Arabidopsis thaliana: one gene and its partners. The protein of the gene in region 1 binds, or shares a complex with, the protein of each later gene. Each region holds a gene or a part of one and is shown in the gene's direction. Other genes may lie near its edges.

Region 1 (3,840 bases):
ACAGTTCAAAAGCAGATTCCTTTAGCTCATGTTTAGAGAAACCTGCAATCATCGAATTCCACGAAATCAAGTCTTTTGAGCCACCCAAGCCATCAAAAACTCTCTTTGCATCTGATACTGACCCACAATCTGCATAAGAGCTGATCATCGCATTGCATATAGTGATCTCGTGTTGAAGCCCGAGTTTCAAAACCTTAGCATGAACTTGCTTTAACAAGTTACAAAACATAGGATCATCAAGCAAAGTAAGAAGTGGAGCGAAAGTGCCAGCATCCATAGTCACAGCAGCTTTCATCTCCATCAAACCCAACAACCAAAAAGCAGTCTTGATATCTCGCACTTGCACAAATCCAGCAATCAAAGCATTCCATGAAACAGAGTTAGGCTCTGAAATCTCCTTAAAAGCCTCAAAAGCATCTTCAACTCTTTCACATTTCGCATACATATCAACAAGCGAACTTCCAACATACACATTACACTCATAACCTCCCTTTATAACCAAACCATGCACTTGCTCTCCAAGATCGAACCTTTTCACAGAAGCAATCCCTTTCAACAACCTACTAAAACTATACCCATCAACATCAGATCCAGATCTCTTCATACATGTAAATAAACACCATGCATCCTCCAATTTCCCACAGCTTGTGTACCCAGAAATCATTGTGTTCCAAGACACGGAATCTCTCTTAGGCATTTCATCGAACAACATATTGGCATAACCCAAGAAGCCAAATTTTATATAAGAATCCAAAATTCGATTGGATACGTATATATCTGAGATGGAACCACATTTAATAGCGTAACAGTGAGTGAGTGAAAGCTTTTGGAAAGAGTTTAAAGAGCTCTCTAGTAGAGAGGCTAACAACGCTTTCATTCATCTGTTTCTCTGTGTTCATATGATGTCAACATCAAAGAGAGTTTATTTTATTTTATTTATGTATAAAAATATATTTTAATTATGCTTTTTTTTGGTCAAATAATCAGTTTATTATTAACTTATATATATACCTGAATTTACCTAGTAATGGATTATCAAGTGGCTAGTTAGTTTGATAAATTTGTGTTAATAACCTTATGTGGATTAATAATGGCTTAATTAAGTAAATCAAAACACATTTGAAGTTTGAGTTATTTGTAAAATTGTATTTTTTCAGTTAGACTGGAAAAAAATACCTTAGTTTTTTTTTTTTTTTTTTCTAGATTTCGGTCATGGGTGTCACGACATAAATTTATATATACATATATATGAAGTATATTTGAAATCTATTTAAAAAAAAAAGTCATAGATGAGTCGATTTACCAATAGAAACTACAAAATTTACCTTTCAACACTTAAAAGGCTTCTTAAAATTTTGATTGATGCTTCATTCGTTTATCAAAGAGACATACGGCTTAAAAGTTAAAAACCACATGGCGAGTCTAAATCCGTATGGCAGAAAACTATGGACTTTTCTATTAAATTTTTAAAACAAAGTTATTATATATTTAATATTTGGTGTATTTCTTTTAAATGTAAAATGTGTTGCAAACCAAAAATAATAATTATTACAATGGTTTGTAGAGATGTTGCTATTGGCTAAAAATAATTTGTTGTTTTTTTATATTTGATATTTTAAAAATTCTGGTAATGATATTATATTGTTTTTTTAAAAAAAATTAGTGGATTCGACCTTAAACTATAATAACCCAAACTAGCCGTTGCAAGTGCATTTCCGAGGAAGACTAGCCGTTACGCTCTTATTCCTTTTTTTTTCTTTTTCTTTCTTTCCTTCTTTTTAATCCTTCCCTCAAATATCTTTTTTTCCCTTCAAAATCATTAAAACCCTAAGCGACGCTGTTAACACTTGCGAATTCAATTTTCAAAATCACCGATCCTTAGACTCCATGGCGTCCAAAACAGCGGCTGCTAAAGATATCATCACTTTACACGGATCTGCTGCCATCGTCAGCGAATTCTTCTGTACGTATCTTCATTTTTTCTTAGACTCAATTTCAGATATCTTCTTCTCGATTTGATGTTTTTTTTTTCCTTCTTCTTCTTCCTCCAGGTTACGCTGCGAACAGGTGAGAATTGGATCGGAACTTTTCAATTTCAGTGTCTGGAAATCTTCGATTCTGTGATTTTTTTACAGTGAAATTGATTCGTTATTGGTTTCTGGGTACAGTATATTGTATAATCGTGCAGTTTATCCAGAGGAAAGTTTTGTGAAAGTGAAGAAATATGGACTTCCGATGTTGCTTATTGAAGATGAATCCGTCAAATCTTTCATGTCTAATCTCACTTCTCAGATCTCCGGTAATTTTACAAATGTCAGACTTTTATTCAATGATTCCTTTTGTGAGAGAGTCTGAGACTTGATTTTGTTTTTGGTCTAAAGAATGGCTTGAAGCTGGGAAGTTGCAGAGAGTAGTGTTAGTGATTATGAGTAAAGCTACTGGTGAAGTCTTGGAGAGGTGGAATTTTCGTATTGAGACTGATAATGAAGTTGTTGACAAAGGGTCAGTTTTTTGTTTTTAGTGTTGATACTTTCGCAAGTTTGTTTGTTTTCTTTGATTCTTTGTTTCATTATGTTATCTTTATGGAACTTTTTAGTGTGTCGAGGGAGAAGAGTGATAAGGAGATCATGAGGGAGATTCAAGCTATTATGAGACAGGTTGCTTCAAGTGTTACTTACTTGCCTTGTCTTGATGAAACATGTAAGAACCAATTCATAGGAACTTTGAGTGATCATCATTTCGGAACTAGTTTGATTTGGATTCTCGTTTTTGATTGTGCATGTTGTTTGTATTAGGTGTGTTTGATGTATTGGCGTATACGGATACTGATGTGGCTGTTCCATTCACTTGGATCGAGAGCGACCCGAAGTTGATTGCTAATCCACAGATGGTTAAGTTACACGGTTTTGATACCAAGGTAAGGAGGAGGAAGAATTTTGAAACCTTTATTTATACACTTTGAAATGTCTAAGTATTTTGGTGGTTTCATACTTTGCAGATTCACAAAGTCGACACGCTTGTCTCATACAAGAACGACGAGTGGGATGAAGAAGAGTAACAGAAGTCGGGACACACGTATGCAAGGCTCTTTGTTCAGCTTGCGTTTATCTCTTTGGGAGTTCTCATTGTTCTTAAAGGCACGTGAATCCTTTATTCACACACCTATATCGTTTTCTCTTCTGTTTTTTTTCTTTTTCTGAATTGTATGAGAATTGGAATCCTGTACTTGTGTTGTGTTTTGTTCAAAAGTTATCAGCTTTTTCATTGTCCCTGTCTCTTGTACTGAACCGTTTTGTTTACCAATCAAACTTTATGGCTCTTGGATCAAAAAGAGATTTCTCAATAAACAAATCAAATTCCTCTGATTCACAATGGCATGTCAAAAGAGGTGCATATGTACAGTGACTGATGAAAATAAAGTATTTTGGATCAAAAAAAGCTATTTATAGTGACTGATGAAAAATAAAAGGTTTCTTCTAGCCTTCTGTAGTAACCGTTTTCTCATCTCATTCCTCTGTATAAGCGACCGGATTGAAGCTCGTCCATATTGTCTATGTTTTGAAACGCGTCAAACTCTCTCAGACATGTCCATCCTCGTCGAGCCAAGAAATCTCGGTAATCTTCTTCGGTGTAGAATATCTTCTCCTCTTGATGGACTGGTAACGGATCAGATTCATCATAGTGGCACACTCTAACGGCTATCCCTGAATTCAAATGGATATTGAGAAACCTCTAACCAGAGAGTATTCGATGAATAGCATAGAAGAAAGAGTGGATTTACCTTCATCAATGCGGAGTATATAGTTCCCTAAAGGCATGTCTCGGTCAAGAGAGCGAATA
Region 2 (4,523 bases), on another chromosome or scaffold:
TTCTGAGAAGCTGCTGCAGTTGTCGTTGAGAGAGAGGTGGTGAAATTCTCCGCCGAAGTGAAGTTCGATGAGGAGAGTAAGGTGGTGGTGGTGGTGGTGGTGACGGCGGAGCAGGGACGAGCGGTGGAGATGAGGTTGTGGTAGTAAGGAGGAAGGTTCCAGACAATCATGACGAGAGAGAGAGCTAGTAATGTAGCAATTATTGGTTTCTTCTCGAAACATACTGTGGTGGTTGATAACACCGGCGGCAAAACTTCCTTCCTCATGTTTTTTTTCCCGACGACGGTGAGTAAAACGCACCGTTTCGGTTATCAATTATTTAAAAATTAAAAAAATTCAAAAGTGACGACAAGCGTCAGAGAGAAGTGACGAGAGGCTTTGCCGACACGGCGTGTAGAAATTAGAAGACTCGTGGCTGTCTCACATATGATATGAGGAGTGATGTGGTGGAGGTTATACGAGAATGGGCTTGGATCTATTATGATTTACGAAAAAGACACTGCATCTAACTTGTAAAAAGTTGGATCAAGTCTGTTTTATGTATTGCTGGCTCCCAATTGGCAGCATGGTGGGGACACATGGTCCTTTGGGCAAGTTGGCGTAACGGTGTACCTTCTTTGGTGATGATTTAGTTTCGGTTAGAGAAATCGAATGAGTTTGGGCACGGAAAGGTGAAATGTGAATAGACTCGTTAAAGAGTTTGTGAATTCCCAGCAAAAAGTAAAAAAAAAAAGTGTGTTCTAAATTCCTTTGAATGTAGACTTTGTTTTAAACATTTGAATTAAAAACATGATTTGTTCTTCCAGTTATGGAATTCTTAAACGTACGGCAAAAGGCTTTTAGTTTTAGACTTTAGTAATAACAAGCAAAATGTATATTGATTGCGAATACGATTGCATGCATTTAAAGACTTGTTTTTTTTTCCAAACTTAAACGTCAATAAAGGAGATCATGTGTGTCACATTCCCAAACTGAAGGATACCATAAATATCAATTCTTTTATTATGTTTTCTTCATTTCATTTTCTTCAATAAACTGTTACTGTTTTATTGTCGGTGGAAGTTGTTACAATGGAAAAACAGACTTTGTATACAACTTCTAATCTTGAGTACGTTTTGTTTAGGAATTCATAATTGAGCACACTAGGTTTAGCGTGTAACGCAATGTATGTGATCATCCCTTGTTGAACCGACAGACAGAGAGCATCTTGTGGTTGTGGATGAACTTTTTTTTAGCTTCCAAGTCAAAAAGTGAATTATGCTCGTAATTTATTTAAAGAAGGTAAAAAAAGAGTACATCTTCTCTTTTATCTTTTGCTTTGATTGTTATTCTCCAAAAGACCAAAACCATCTAATTTAGAAGAAAACAAAACAGTAAAAATAATTTTCTCTGGATTATTGTGTTATTTTGTTCAGCCAATTGAATTAATGAAGTGTATTCTGTCATTTCTTTTACTATTTTACTTTCGCTCATTGTCATTTTTCTTCTCTTATCGATTATTTGTAGTAGGAGTATACACAATTCGGTTTAGATGGCCACTTAATGGGTTTAAGAAATCAAATCATGGCCCATCTAAGTTAGGCCCATCAAAAGCGTCTATACGCTCCGAGTATGCGTACATCAAAGCAAAAAGTTGCGAAGCTCTCTCATTGAGTAAACTAACGGCTATATTCTCTCTGATATTCAAAATTTGCTCGAAGAAACGACGATGGCAGCCGAAACGAAGGTTCAGGTTTCAGATCCAGAGGCAGAGTTTCTTAATTCGAAGCAGGAGACTGGATACGAGTGGGAGCTTTTCAAGGAGAACGTCCGGCCATTGAAGAGAGGTCGCAATGTTGGTATTCTCAACCACGCTCTCAAATCTCACTCTGACCACCAATTGAGAAAGAATCTCATCGAGAAACGCAGGTACTGATTTCAATCTCACATCTTTGCTCTTGGGTTTTAGTCTAATCGCTCGATTCTTGTCTAATTTTGTGTTGTTTTTGTGAATTAGGAATTTGATTGAAGCCATTGATGAGTATGAAGGAGATGACCCTTTATCTCCATGGATAGAGTGAGTTCCTTTTATCATTCTTGATTGGGTTGTTGAAAAATTGAAATTTTTCTTGAACCAATCTTTATGCTGTGACCAATTTGTAAACTGAGCTTCTTAATTGGTTTCTTTGGAAGGTGTATAAAATGGGTACAAGAGGCTTTTCCACCAGGAGGAGAATGTTCAGGACTGTTAGTGATATATGAGCAATGTGTTCGTAAATTTTGGCACTCTGAACGTTACAAGGATGATCTTCGTTATCTTAAAGTCTGGTTGGAATATGTAATGATTCTATCTTTAATTAAACCCTCTAGATGATTCTTTCTTTGTTATGGAGAGAGTACTCATAGTTTTTGTGTGTGTTTTGAAGGCGGAGCATTGCGCTGATGCGGAAGTGATTTACAAGTTTTTGGAGGTCAATGAGATTGGAAAGACACATGCTGTCTACTATATAGCTTATGCTTTGCACATTGAGTTTAAGAATAAGGTCAAAACTGCTAATGAGATCTTCAATCTTGGAATCTCTAGGTAAATGAACAGATATGTAATCTTACTTTCATGTTTCGGCTCCAAGTTATTGGTCTGATTTGAAAGTGGGAACTTGTGCAGGGATGCAAAGCCAGTGGAAAAGTTGAATGACGCGTACAAGAAGTTTATGGTGAGAACGATGAGAAGGTCCAACACAGCTGATGAAGTAAAAAGTTTTGTCTCTTTGTAACACTTTATATCTATTCATTATGGACTAAGGTTTTTCCTAATCATAATTAATGTTCTACCTACCAGCAGGAACCAAAGGAGAATAATGACTTACCGTCAAGAAGCTTTGGCACTTTATTGTCCAGGGGAGATAATAGTGAGTCACATTAACTTAACTTGGAAACCACTGAAATGTTTTGGTAAGCTATCTTACATGAAAATGTTTTCTGTAGATGCAAGAAGGCAGGCGTTAGGAAGTTCTAACCCACAAGCCAAAAAGCTAAAGCCAAATCAGTAAGTAGTTTGATTGGTTCTATATTTCTCGTTGTTTTCATTATCTGCATTTTCTATCAACTCATACCTTTAAATTATTCTGCAACTCACTATGGTAAGCAACTTTGTCTTTTGCAGATCATCCAAGACACCTTTTGCTATCTACGCAGATGCAGTTTCAGACACCACATCAGGGAATCAACCAGAGTCAGACAAGTCAAGACCAGAGTTTGGTAGTTGGCTCATGCTTGGAGGCAGAGCAGAGAGGAACAAAGAAAACAATTCTTTACCTAGAAAATGGGCATCATTCAAGGTTTTCCCTCTACCCTCCTAAACAAAACTATCTCACTTGGCTCATACTATCTCTATAAATTGATCACTAACTGCATTTATATTTATTGTCACAGGTTCCTCAGAAACCCATTGTGAGAACTGTTGCAGCAGCATCTGCTTCCACCTTTGAGGTTTTTGTCGATGAAGAAGAATGTACAGAGTAAGTTTGACTAATTTTTCAGAAGTTTTCTGAACAAAACATGTTTCCACCATTAACATGATTCTGAAATGCAGAGAGGAAGAAGAAAAGAAGAAGAATGATGAAACTATCTCATCATCATCAAACGTTCTGCCCCTTAATGGCGGCCGTGAGATAAAAAAGTAAGCAAAAAAATTCCCCTAAAGATTCATTCACCAAACAAATATTATATCATGACTTGGTAGAGATCTAACAATGGTTACTTAAAAAAATGCAGAGAAACAGAGCTGCTACGACAGAACCCTTTAAGACATTTCCCACCCAACAGCTTCCTACGATGATGATATTGGACTTTCTTCTCTACACGATCTTATGGTTTGAGATTTGAGCTTTTGTCTATAAAGCTCCTTGTGTGTTTTTGCCTATTTGGATTTGTTTTTGTGATGTACTGGGATATACTATCCTACTATGTACCATGATGTGCCTTTCATGTTTTGAAATTAATGTGACTTGTCTTGTTTCAATCCTTATATGATTTGTTTCTCCTAAAGTAATCATTCTACAAAAAAAAACTTTATATCAATTTCCACTAATTAACCTAGATTACCACTTATGATTAAACTTAAGGAATCATTTTAATAATGCCCTAAATGTGGCCAAGTCATTGGTTTATATGGCAAGTGACTTTGTGATCCCAATAATTTTTTGGTCTAGTCGTCTAGGCAACTAGCGTACCTTTGTTTTAGAAAAATTCTAGAGTTTCATTGTAAATCAATGGATACGTATGGATGGGTACAAACTAGAAAAGATAATCAATCCATTGGGCATTTCTTCCATAGAAAATAAAGTGGCTTTAAACGGATGGGAGGGGGCATAAAACATAATCAAGCATTAATAGCCATTTAAATTAATGATTAAAAACGAATGATGCGATTTTGGAGATAGACTTTGAGTGGTAAACAAGGGCAAATGAAAAAAAAAACTTGGGAATTTTATTTGGTGTTAGTGGTAGGGGCATCATTTCATTTCACAATCTACCCTTTAGGG
Region 3 (8,013 bases), on another chromosome or scaffold:
AAATCCGTCTTGCCAAAAAGCCATTTATTTTATTAATATTGATTTTATTTATGATATAAGTCTGAATTATAATCTAAACATTTTAGCTAATAACATAGGAGTGCACCATATTTATTTAATAGGGGAATGTACCATATGACCCGAATGCACTTTTACCCAAATCCACCAAAAAAGTCTTGCAAAACTACTATAGACCCGAATGTACCATATTTTTTTGTGCTAATTTTTATGTGATTAAGATTTAATTGATTTCGTATATAAAATATTAAATTGTTTTACGAACTTATTTGTTTATAATTTGGTAACAGATAGATAATTGAATATTCAGTATATTTTGCTTCAGTTTAGGAAATCTTTAATGACCCGTCTTTAAATCCAATAAGCCCTATAATTAAGAGATGAATATTGTCGTTAAATGATTTTGGTAATCTTAATGATGTCATTAAAAGATTTTGTTTTTGATTAAATTTTTCTAATGGCATTGTCATGTAATTAATTACAAAAATTAAGGTTACATTTAAAATGTACTTCCCAAATAATATAGTAGGACGATATGCACTTTTATCCAAATCCACCAAAAAAGTCTTGCAAATATACTATAGAGATAAGAAACGATAGTCGGTTTTGATAGGTATATGATTAGCAAATATATTAGTTCGCTTAAATTAGTTAAAGAATACAAATTGAAAAGGTATATTACACTTTATTCGAATATAGTATCAAAACTTATATAGAGATTTGATAAATTTTTAATTGTTGAATACTTTTTTTTTGTGCTAATTTTATGTGATTAAGATTTAGTTGATTTCGTATATAAAATATTAAATTGTTTTACGAACTTATTTGTTTATAATTTGGTAACAGATAGATATTTGAATATTCAGTATATTTTGCTTCAGTTTAGGAAATCTTTGATGAGTTGTCTTTAGATCCAATAAGCCCTGTAATCTAGATATTAACTTGCAGTATACCGCAGGTAGGCTTATATTTTAGTTCAACTAAAAACTTTTATTGTAAAGATGATTTAAAAATATATGATATTATTTTATTTGATTTTAAATGTATAGTAAACTGTGAGTTGTATATATTTTTTGATATTATCTATATTGTTTAGTGTTTAAGATTATACACTTGTAGTTTGATTGTTAATTTAAGAGTTTCACCTGTAGTATACCATCTTGTATTAATATCGATCTAATCCCGTCAATTCTAGGATTTTCCAGCTTGTATTAAAAATTGAATCACATCTAATATGTTATTAATTATTGTAGTATATAAGATTATAAATTTTCAATATAATATGTATGAAATTGAATATAAATATTTCAAATTATGACATGTTACTCAGTAGAAAGTTTTCTTAAATCTATTTTTCACCCGTTATAATATTTTTTCATGTATTGAACAGTTTATATTCGTTTTTAAAAATTCAAATTATGGCATATGCGAAAAAACTCTAATTATTTTTCTATAATGATGATATTATTTTTCGGCAAAAATAGAATCATATAAAGATGAGAAGTAAACTATAATAATTAATAAAAAATTAATATGATAATTTAGATATCAAATCTAATTTGTTGATTTTAATTGGTTACTTTTTTGGGAATTAATAATGTATTTTGTTTTTCTAATTAAATTAAATTAATTAAAATTTAGATATCAAATCTTATATGTTGATTTTGATTGGTTATTATTTTTGGAAATTAATAATGTATTTCGTTTTTAATTAAATTTAATTAATTAAATTAGTATTTGACTTTTTAATCCTCAAAGAGATAAATTAATTTACTCTTTAAAATTTTATTTCTAATGACATACCTATGTAATTACTTACAAAAATTAAAGTTATATTTAAAATGTACTTCCCAAATAATATAGTAGGATGAATCTAATAACCCAAAATTTATAAAGATTTAAATTATAATCAACAGTTTGATCATCTTGTTCATACAAAATTTCGTATAAGACATTAATTAACAAAGCAAAAAATCATATATCAAAATAGACACATATTAACAAAGGATTAATAATTTAATAGTTGTGAAAAGCCTTTCCAGTTTCTTCCACGGCCTAGCTCCTCCGTCTTTACGCTCTCTCATCAAACTCGAGAAAAAAAAGTGGCGCCTCTGCAATTTCAATTTTCAAATCCTAATAATTTTTCTCTCGCTTCCCGGAGAACGGAACCCTAATTTCTCGACGCAGACATGATTTTGAGAACTCCGCAGCCGAAGAGGCTCAGGTCCGACGCCGGAGAAAGCCCCTTCCCCACCGGCGCTACTGGTTCCGGCAATCAGCTAATCATCTACGAAGATTCTCCTCTTCCTGCTCCTGCTCCGCTACAAACTTCTCATGATCATTCGGCGGATCAACATCTTTGCACCTATCAATGCCGCCAAATGGTCACTACTTATACCTATCTATCTATATCCCCTCACGAAGATTAGCGAATCTGAGGTTTGTTCTTGTTGTTGTTAGGTTAAAGCTGATGTTCTAGATGCCTTGAGCACAGCAGAGAAACAAGTTGAGGAATCTAAAACCAAATTACAGACTCTTAATGCCAACTTCACCGAAGCAGGTGAGAGATCGTTTGTGAATTCGAAATTACAAAGGTCTTGATTCCGAATGTCTCTGCTTTAACTGTTGTTAACGAATTTGATTTTGATATTCTACAACAGATGCTGAAAGAAAGCATTTTCGAGATAAATTCTTATACTCAGAGCAAGAGCTTGCTGCTGCTAAAGCGCGTGAGAAAATGCTTCAGGAGCAGCTTCTTATGGAGATCAACAATTCTCAAGAGCGGTATACCAAAGAACTACAATCTTGCCATGAACTGGAGGTTGATCTAACTATTAAATTGACTTGAAATTTCTCGTTTTACTTGGTGTCATTGGTGCCAGTATCATTAACTGAATCCTTATAGGTAAAACTTCAAAATGAAATGAACCTTCGAAAGAAAGCGGAGTCTTCTGCTGCAACAGCTGAGGAAAAAGCTAAACTTTTGGAGGATAAACTAACTCAGCTATCTGGAAGTGTGGACAGGGAGAAGAAACGTCTCAACAATGATATTGCTCAACTGGGTAAAGAAGCAAAGCTTTCTGTGGCTAGGATTGGTGCAGATGTAAGTATCGATTAAGAAACTTGATAGCTTGACTGAAGTTTTGTTTTTGGTTTCTCATGCAATTATCGTATTTGCACCTGTTTTCCTTTGCTTTTAGCTTGAAAGGATGCAATGTAGGGCACAAAATGCTGAGACGGAATCAAATCTTTTAAGATCACAACTGGAGCATCTTAAACTGATATTTGACGAGGTAAGCTATGTTTGACGTGCATCTTAGATAATAATAACACCAGTCATAAGTCATCATTTGCTTTGGTAATTTATTTTGCTTTCTCATATGATTCTTTTTATGCAGTGTTTGCAAGAAAAGACTGAAGTAGACAAGAAGCTATCGTCATTCACTTCGGAGGCAGCATCTTCTTCAGATAACAGTGTATTGGTTAAACATCTTCAGGAAGAACTTAAACGCTATGTAAGTTTTACCAGTTCTTAGTCTACCCGAGTAATGATTTTACAAAGTTGTTACATAAGATGAATCATTTATTGAAAATGAGTATGAAAGTGGTCAGGACATTGATCATAACTCTCTGTTTTATTCACCAATAGAAGCTGTACTCGTTCTTGATTACCATGAGAAACTTTGCATTACATACCCAGAATCAATGATTTCTATTTTCTGTTGATTACTCTCATAAGCAGCAAATCACGGAGAGAGATTATGCAAGTTTTTAAACACTTGAAATTTACTCAAAACACTCGTTAAATTTTTTTTCTTAAAATGGTCGTCTTATTTACTTAGGCTATCTAAGACAATTCATAAGTAAAAGAGTTTACTTTTCAAGAAAAGTGAGGTAATATAGAATGATGTATTTTTCATGTAACACTAGTTATGCAAGTCAAATTTTAATTTGATCGTAAATTCGACTCACATACTTTTCATCATTTGAAGACATGTACTATTTGTAGATTCTATTTTCGACTTCTATACTTTCCATGTAATATCTATTTAGTTTTTGTTTTTCTTGTCGATTTTGATTCTTGATAATTGTATCAGGAAGCTGAAGTGCGAGAAGCTAGAAAGTTAAAATCACGGCATTTAGATGCGGAGTTGTTGAATGTGAACTTATTAGAAGAACAAAGCCGTAGGGAGAGGGCAGAGTCAGAGTTATCAAAATTTCATGACTTGCAGCTAAGCATGGAAAAGTTGGAGAATGAATTGTCCTCTTGGAAGTCATTGCTAAATGACATTCCTGGTGTGTCCTGTCCTGATGACATAGTTATGAGATTCTCGGTGCTACAGAAGTATGTCAACATGATCTATACAGAATTTATCTTTTCACTAGAGTCTTCTTCTGATATTGTTTCAAATAATTATGCCTGCCATGAAATATTCTGTGCGGAGAGACTGAGGTAGTTGTTACGGGGCATTTTCCTGACTTTATAGGTGAACTAGATAGTATTTATCAGAGACATCTGTAACACCACTTTGTCCAGATATGGCTTTATATTTTACAGATATTCTGGCTTGCTAGTCTAGCAGGTCTAATGTGTCTGTGAGCATCTAGAGTATTGATTTCTAGTTTACCAAGCACTCTGAGTTAACACATGTATCTATGATACTTCCTAGTGACTTGTGTTTCTGCCTTTGAAGTGAGGTGGTTCAAAGCACTATGAAGATTGGGGAAGCAAGTACCCGTATTAAACAACTGGAGGAGACACTGGAGGCTATACAACTTGGCAGACAGAATGCTGTAAGTGAGGCTGCATTAGCGAAAGAGAAATCTGAGGCTCTCAAAACAGACGTGAAGAGAATTGAAGTAATGGTAAGTTTGAAAATTGTTGCTGGTGCTCTGTAAGGGGTCACAAATGCACTTTTATTTTGCTGGCATCAATTAAAGCCTCTTAAGTTGATTTTTGATTCTCGAGAGATAAAGGATAGCATTTTCAATTGGTGACACTCAAATGCTCATCATTTTATATTCATTATTCTTGTTTATTGATTGTTTGCTTGGTTTCTCTAGGTTCACTGTCTTTGCTTGGATATATACTAGCTCAGCTCTGTATTTCATGTTGATTGTTGATCTATGCATTCATAAGAAGCTGATAGAAGTAATATAGTTAGAGACGATATTCATAGGATAATATCCCTAGTATTTTTGGATGTTCACGTTGGGTTTGTTATCAATTAGTACAGATTTAATATCTCTATATATGTGGGGAAAGTCTGTTTGTTCCTAATGAGTGTATTCAATTGTTAGATTTTGGTGCAAATTCCTTCGTATCCAAACATGAGTCTATCACGAATTTATGATGAGTTGATTTATCCATAATATAGTGTCCTTTCAGGATAAGAGATAATGTGTGTAGTATAGAATTTGTTGCAAACAACTTTTTATTTAATCATGAATCTATCACAATTCAAGGGAATTAAGTTTATAGTGTCTCATTGGAGGTAACTTTTTATAATTTTCTATCAGTTTGTTGCACTATTACTAACAGAGCTTTAATTTGTAATAAAGCTCACTTTGGTCACGGAGGAGAAAGAACAGTTGAAAGCTGTTGTTAATGAATTAAGGAAGTCAAACAGTGAAGGATCTGTGTCTGGAGCCGCAGATGGAGCCCTTATTCAGGTTCTAGAATAACACAGTTCTTATTTTGAAGATTTTCCTTCTTTTTTGTTGGAAGCATAAAGCTTATTTTGCTTATATATACAGGGGTTTGAATCTTCTCTTGCAAAGAAGGAGAACTATATTAAGGATTTAGAGCAGGATCTAAATCAACTGAAGGATGTCAATAATCGTCAACGTACTGAAATAGAACTTCTAAATGAGAAACTAGTTGATGAAGCAAGGAGGAATAAGTCGCTGGAAAGGGATAGTGATCGTCTTCGCTCTGAGATCTCTTTACTGGAGTCAAAGGTACAGATGCTAGAGATGTGTGCTTGTAAAAAAGATTGCCAAAGAAAATATTTGCTTATGGAACTTTCATCTGCCATGGTCGAAATGAATAATAAAAGTTTTTAAGGGTGAATGGCGAATTTTATGTCCTGCATCTTATGTTTTTCTTAGGTTTCATGGAAGATTTTATTATTGTAAAAGCGAATAGAAATGCTATTTAGGACCTCTAACTTCTACCCTAGAGTTTGATCTGAACAGTAACATATATTTGGCAGCTGGGTCATGGTGATTATTCTGCCGCAAATACAAGGGTTTTGCGCATGGTGAATACTCTTGGTGTTGAAAACGAGGCAAAACAAACAATAGAGGCTTTACAAGCTGAGTTACAGAAGACAAAAGAAAGACTTCAAGCTGTTGAAGAATTAAAGAGCCAGTCTGGTAAATTTCTGATTGTCGACCTTTCCTGTTTTTGATACTGAGTTTGCTACAAGTCTACCATTCAATTTTACTCTCACCACAAAATTCACTGGAGAAGCATACCTTAATTTCTCTGTGACCCTATTCTCTACATCATATTCTATGTTTCCGAGAATAAAAGGGAGGGCCAAAATCTTTCTGTTGATCTGCCTCCGGAGGACTTGAGAAGAAATATTGTAGTGTTTCAAAAATGTTATTCTTATTTACTAAATATGCTTTACTGTAAATTCTTTTTCATGAATATTCAGGAGATGCTGGGAAGCTAGTTGACTCTCATATAACTGGAAAGATTGCTCAACTAAAAGAGCAAAATGCTACGCTTGAAAAACGTGAAGAGAGGTTTGTTACTGATAAATGTTTAACATGTCCTTTGTGCAAATATGACCTTGATTTCCCATACTAAAACATATGTGGAGCCTATGAATTATGAAACAGGTACAAAACTGTTTTTGCTGATAGAATTTCCGTGTTTAGAAGGGCTTGTTGTGAGCTTTTTGGTTATAAGGTATGCCACTTGCTCATAATTATGTCGTAGCACTCAAATTTTATTCTTTAGCATTACAATGGTTCCCTGAAGGCAATGATTCTGGATATTTCAGTTTTCTGAATGTTGACTATCACATTGTAAAATGTAATGTTCGTACTTTTGTCCATTTTTTACGGTCTATGAACTGCGCGTTTCTGTTGCAAAGAGGGATTCAGCTATTGCTATCTATAGTTTTCCTTACCTTCCGTTATTCGTGTAGATAGATGATCAAAGAGTCTTATTCATCTACAGAACTTGTAAACTTGTGAATTCCTTTTGAAAACTCTGGCAGATTGTAATGGACGAACATCAGCGTCCCAATGGAATCCCAGTGACTCGGTTTACTCTCCAGTCTATATATGCTCAAAGTGATGATGAAAAACTCGAGTTTGAATACGAGTCAGGAAACACCAGTATTCTAGTAAGTGATTCTTGTAAATTGTATAACTTTGATATGCTGCATTTGAATCAGTTAATCAACTGATACTGATTTAATTCCTTCAGAACAATGAGTATGCCTCTCAGGGCGACATAGCGAAGCAGGTAAAGTACAGACATAGTTTTCTTCCTTCATAAGCGCAGTGTTCTCAGTGAAGTGTAAAAACTCATTCTGTGTGTTTCTTGCAGATAGAAATATTCATCAGGAAATTCAACTCGATTCCAGCTTTTACAGCCAACTTAACGATGGAATCATTCAACCGTCGGACGCTATATTGAGAGCACTGCGTCCTTATTTCCAACTCTGTGTTTTGTATATTTCTAAAGCCTGCTGAATAGAAACTGAAACTCGAAAGCCGCAGCTTAAAACACTGGCCTTATCTATGTCTACCTCTGGTTCGTTATGTCTGCTATAATTGTGGTGTCAGTAACTCTATTTTGGTATGAAAGAAACTAGTTTCGATTTACTCAGAAAGAATATCTAATGTCATTCTCTGATTATGCGTTTATTACTTTATAGTCACCAAAAACAGTAACACTTGAATATCAAGCAAACAGATTTTTATATAACCATGAATTTAAAACACAAATAATACACAGACTACCTACATGTA

The links.
Region 2: MAD2 (region 1) and BUBR1 share a complex: the UniProt entries of both Arabidopsis thaliana proteins name them as parts of the mitotic checkpoint complex.
Region 3: MAD2 (region 1) and MAD1 share a complex: the UniProt entries of both Arabidopsis thaliana proteins name them as parts of the mitotic checkpoint complex.

Annotation. Positions count from the first base shown.
Region 1 is NC_003074.8:9,501,345-9,505,184, forward strand, and holds MAD2 (DNA-binding HORMA family protein), read left to right. Parts: upstream 1-1,711; 5' UTR 1,712-1,887; coding exon 1,888-1,963; coding exon of another isoform or gene 1,964-1,967; exon of another isoform or gene 1,968-2,051; coding exon 2,052-2,067; exon of another isoform or gene 2,068-2,168; coding exon 2,169-2,299; intron 2,300-2,381; coding exon 2,382-2,502; intron 2,503-2,596; coding exon 2,597-2,700; intron 2,701-2,795; coding exon 2,796-2,917; intron 2,918-2,998; coding exon 2,999-3,058; 3' UTR 3,059-3,326; downstream 3,327-3,840. Other genes in the region: AT3G25970 (Pentatricopeptide repeat (PPR) superfamily protein), read right to left, coding at 1-877; AT3G25990 (Homeodomain-like superfamily protein), read right to left, coding at 3,502-3,704, 3,782-3,840. UniProt on the Arabidopsis thaliana protein: Required for the execution of the mitotic checkpoint which monitors the process of kinetochore-spindle attachment and delays the onset of anaphase when this process is not complete.
Region 2 is NC_003071.7:14,213,104-14,217,626, reverse strand, and holds BUBR1 (BUB1-related (BUB1: budding uninhibited by benzymidazol 1)), read left to right. Parts: upstream 1-1,572; 5' UTR 1,573-1,708; coding exon 1,709-1,908; intron 1,909-1,996; coding exon 1,997-2,056; intron 2,057-2,172; coding exon 2,173-2,317; intron 2,318-2,405; coding exon 2,406-2,563; intron 2,564-2,644; coding exon 2,645-2,729; intron 2,730-2,818; coding exon 2,819-2,888; intron 2,889-2,964; coding exon 2,965-3,025; intron 3,026-3,142; coding exon 3,143-3,317; intron 3,318-3,411; coding exon 3,412-3,497; intron 3,498-3,571; coding exon 3,572-3,658; intron 3,659-3,753; coding exon 3,754-3,817; 3' UTR 3,818-4,023; downstream 4,024-4,523. Other genes in the region: GALS1 (glycosyltransferase family protein (DUF23)), read right to left, coding at 1-266. UniProt on the Arabidopsis thaliana protein: Essential component of the mitotic checkpoint. Required for normal mitosis progression. The mitotic checkpoint delays anaphase until all chromosomes are properly attached to the mitotic spindle.
Region 3 is NC_003076.8:20,280,098-20,288,110, forward strand, and holds MAD1 (mitotic checkpoint family protein), read left to right. Parts: upstream 1-2,013; 5' UTR 2,014-2,207; coding exon 2,208-2,402; intron 2,403-2,478; coding exon 2,479-2,578; intron 2,579-2,678; coding exon 2,679-2,839; intron 2,840-2,923; coding exon 2,924-3,121; intron 3,122-3,218; coding exon 3,219-3,311; intron 3,312-3,416; coding exon 3,417-3,533; intron 3,534-4,115; coding exon 4,116-4,363; intron 4,364-4,712; coding exon 4,713-4,884; intron 4,885-5,580; coding exon 5,581-5,691; intron 5,692-5,775; coding exon 5,776-5,979; intron 5,980-6,233; coding exon 6,234-6,396; intron 6,397-6,683; coding exon 6,684-6,774; intron 6,775-6,870; coding exon 6,871-6,940; intron 6,941-7,253; coding exon 7,254-7,382; intron 7,383-7,465; coding exon 7,466-7,504; intron 7,505-7,588; coding exon 7,589-7,678; 3' UTR 7,679-7,987; downstream 7,988-8,013. UniProt on the Arabidopsis thaliana protein: Required for the execution of the mitotic checkpoint which monitors the process of kinetochore-spindle attachment and delays the onset of anaphase when this process is not complete.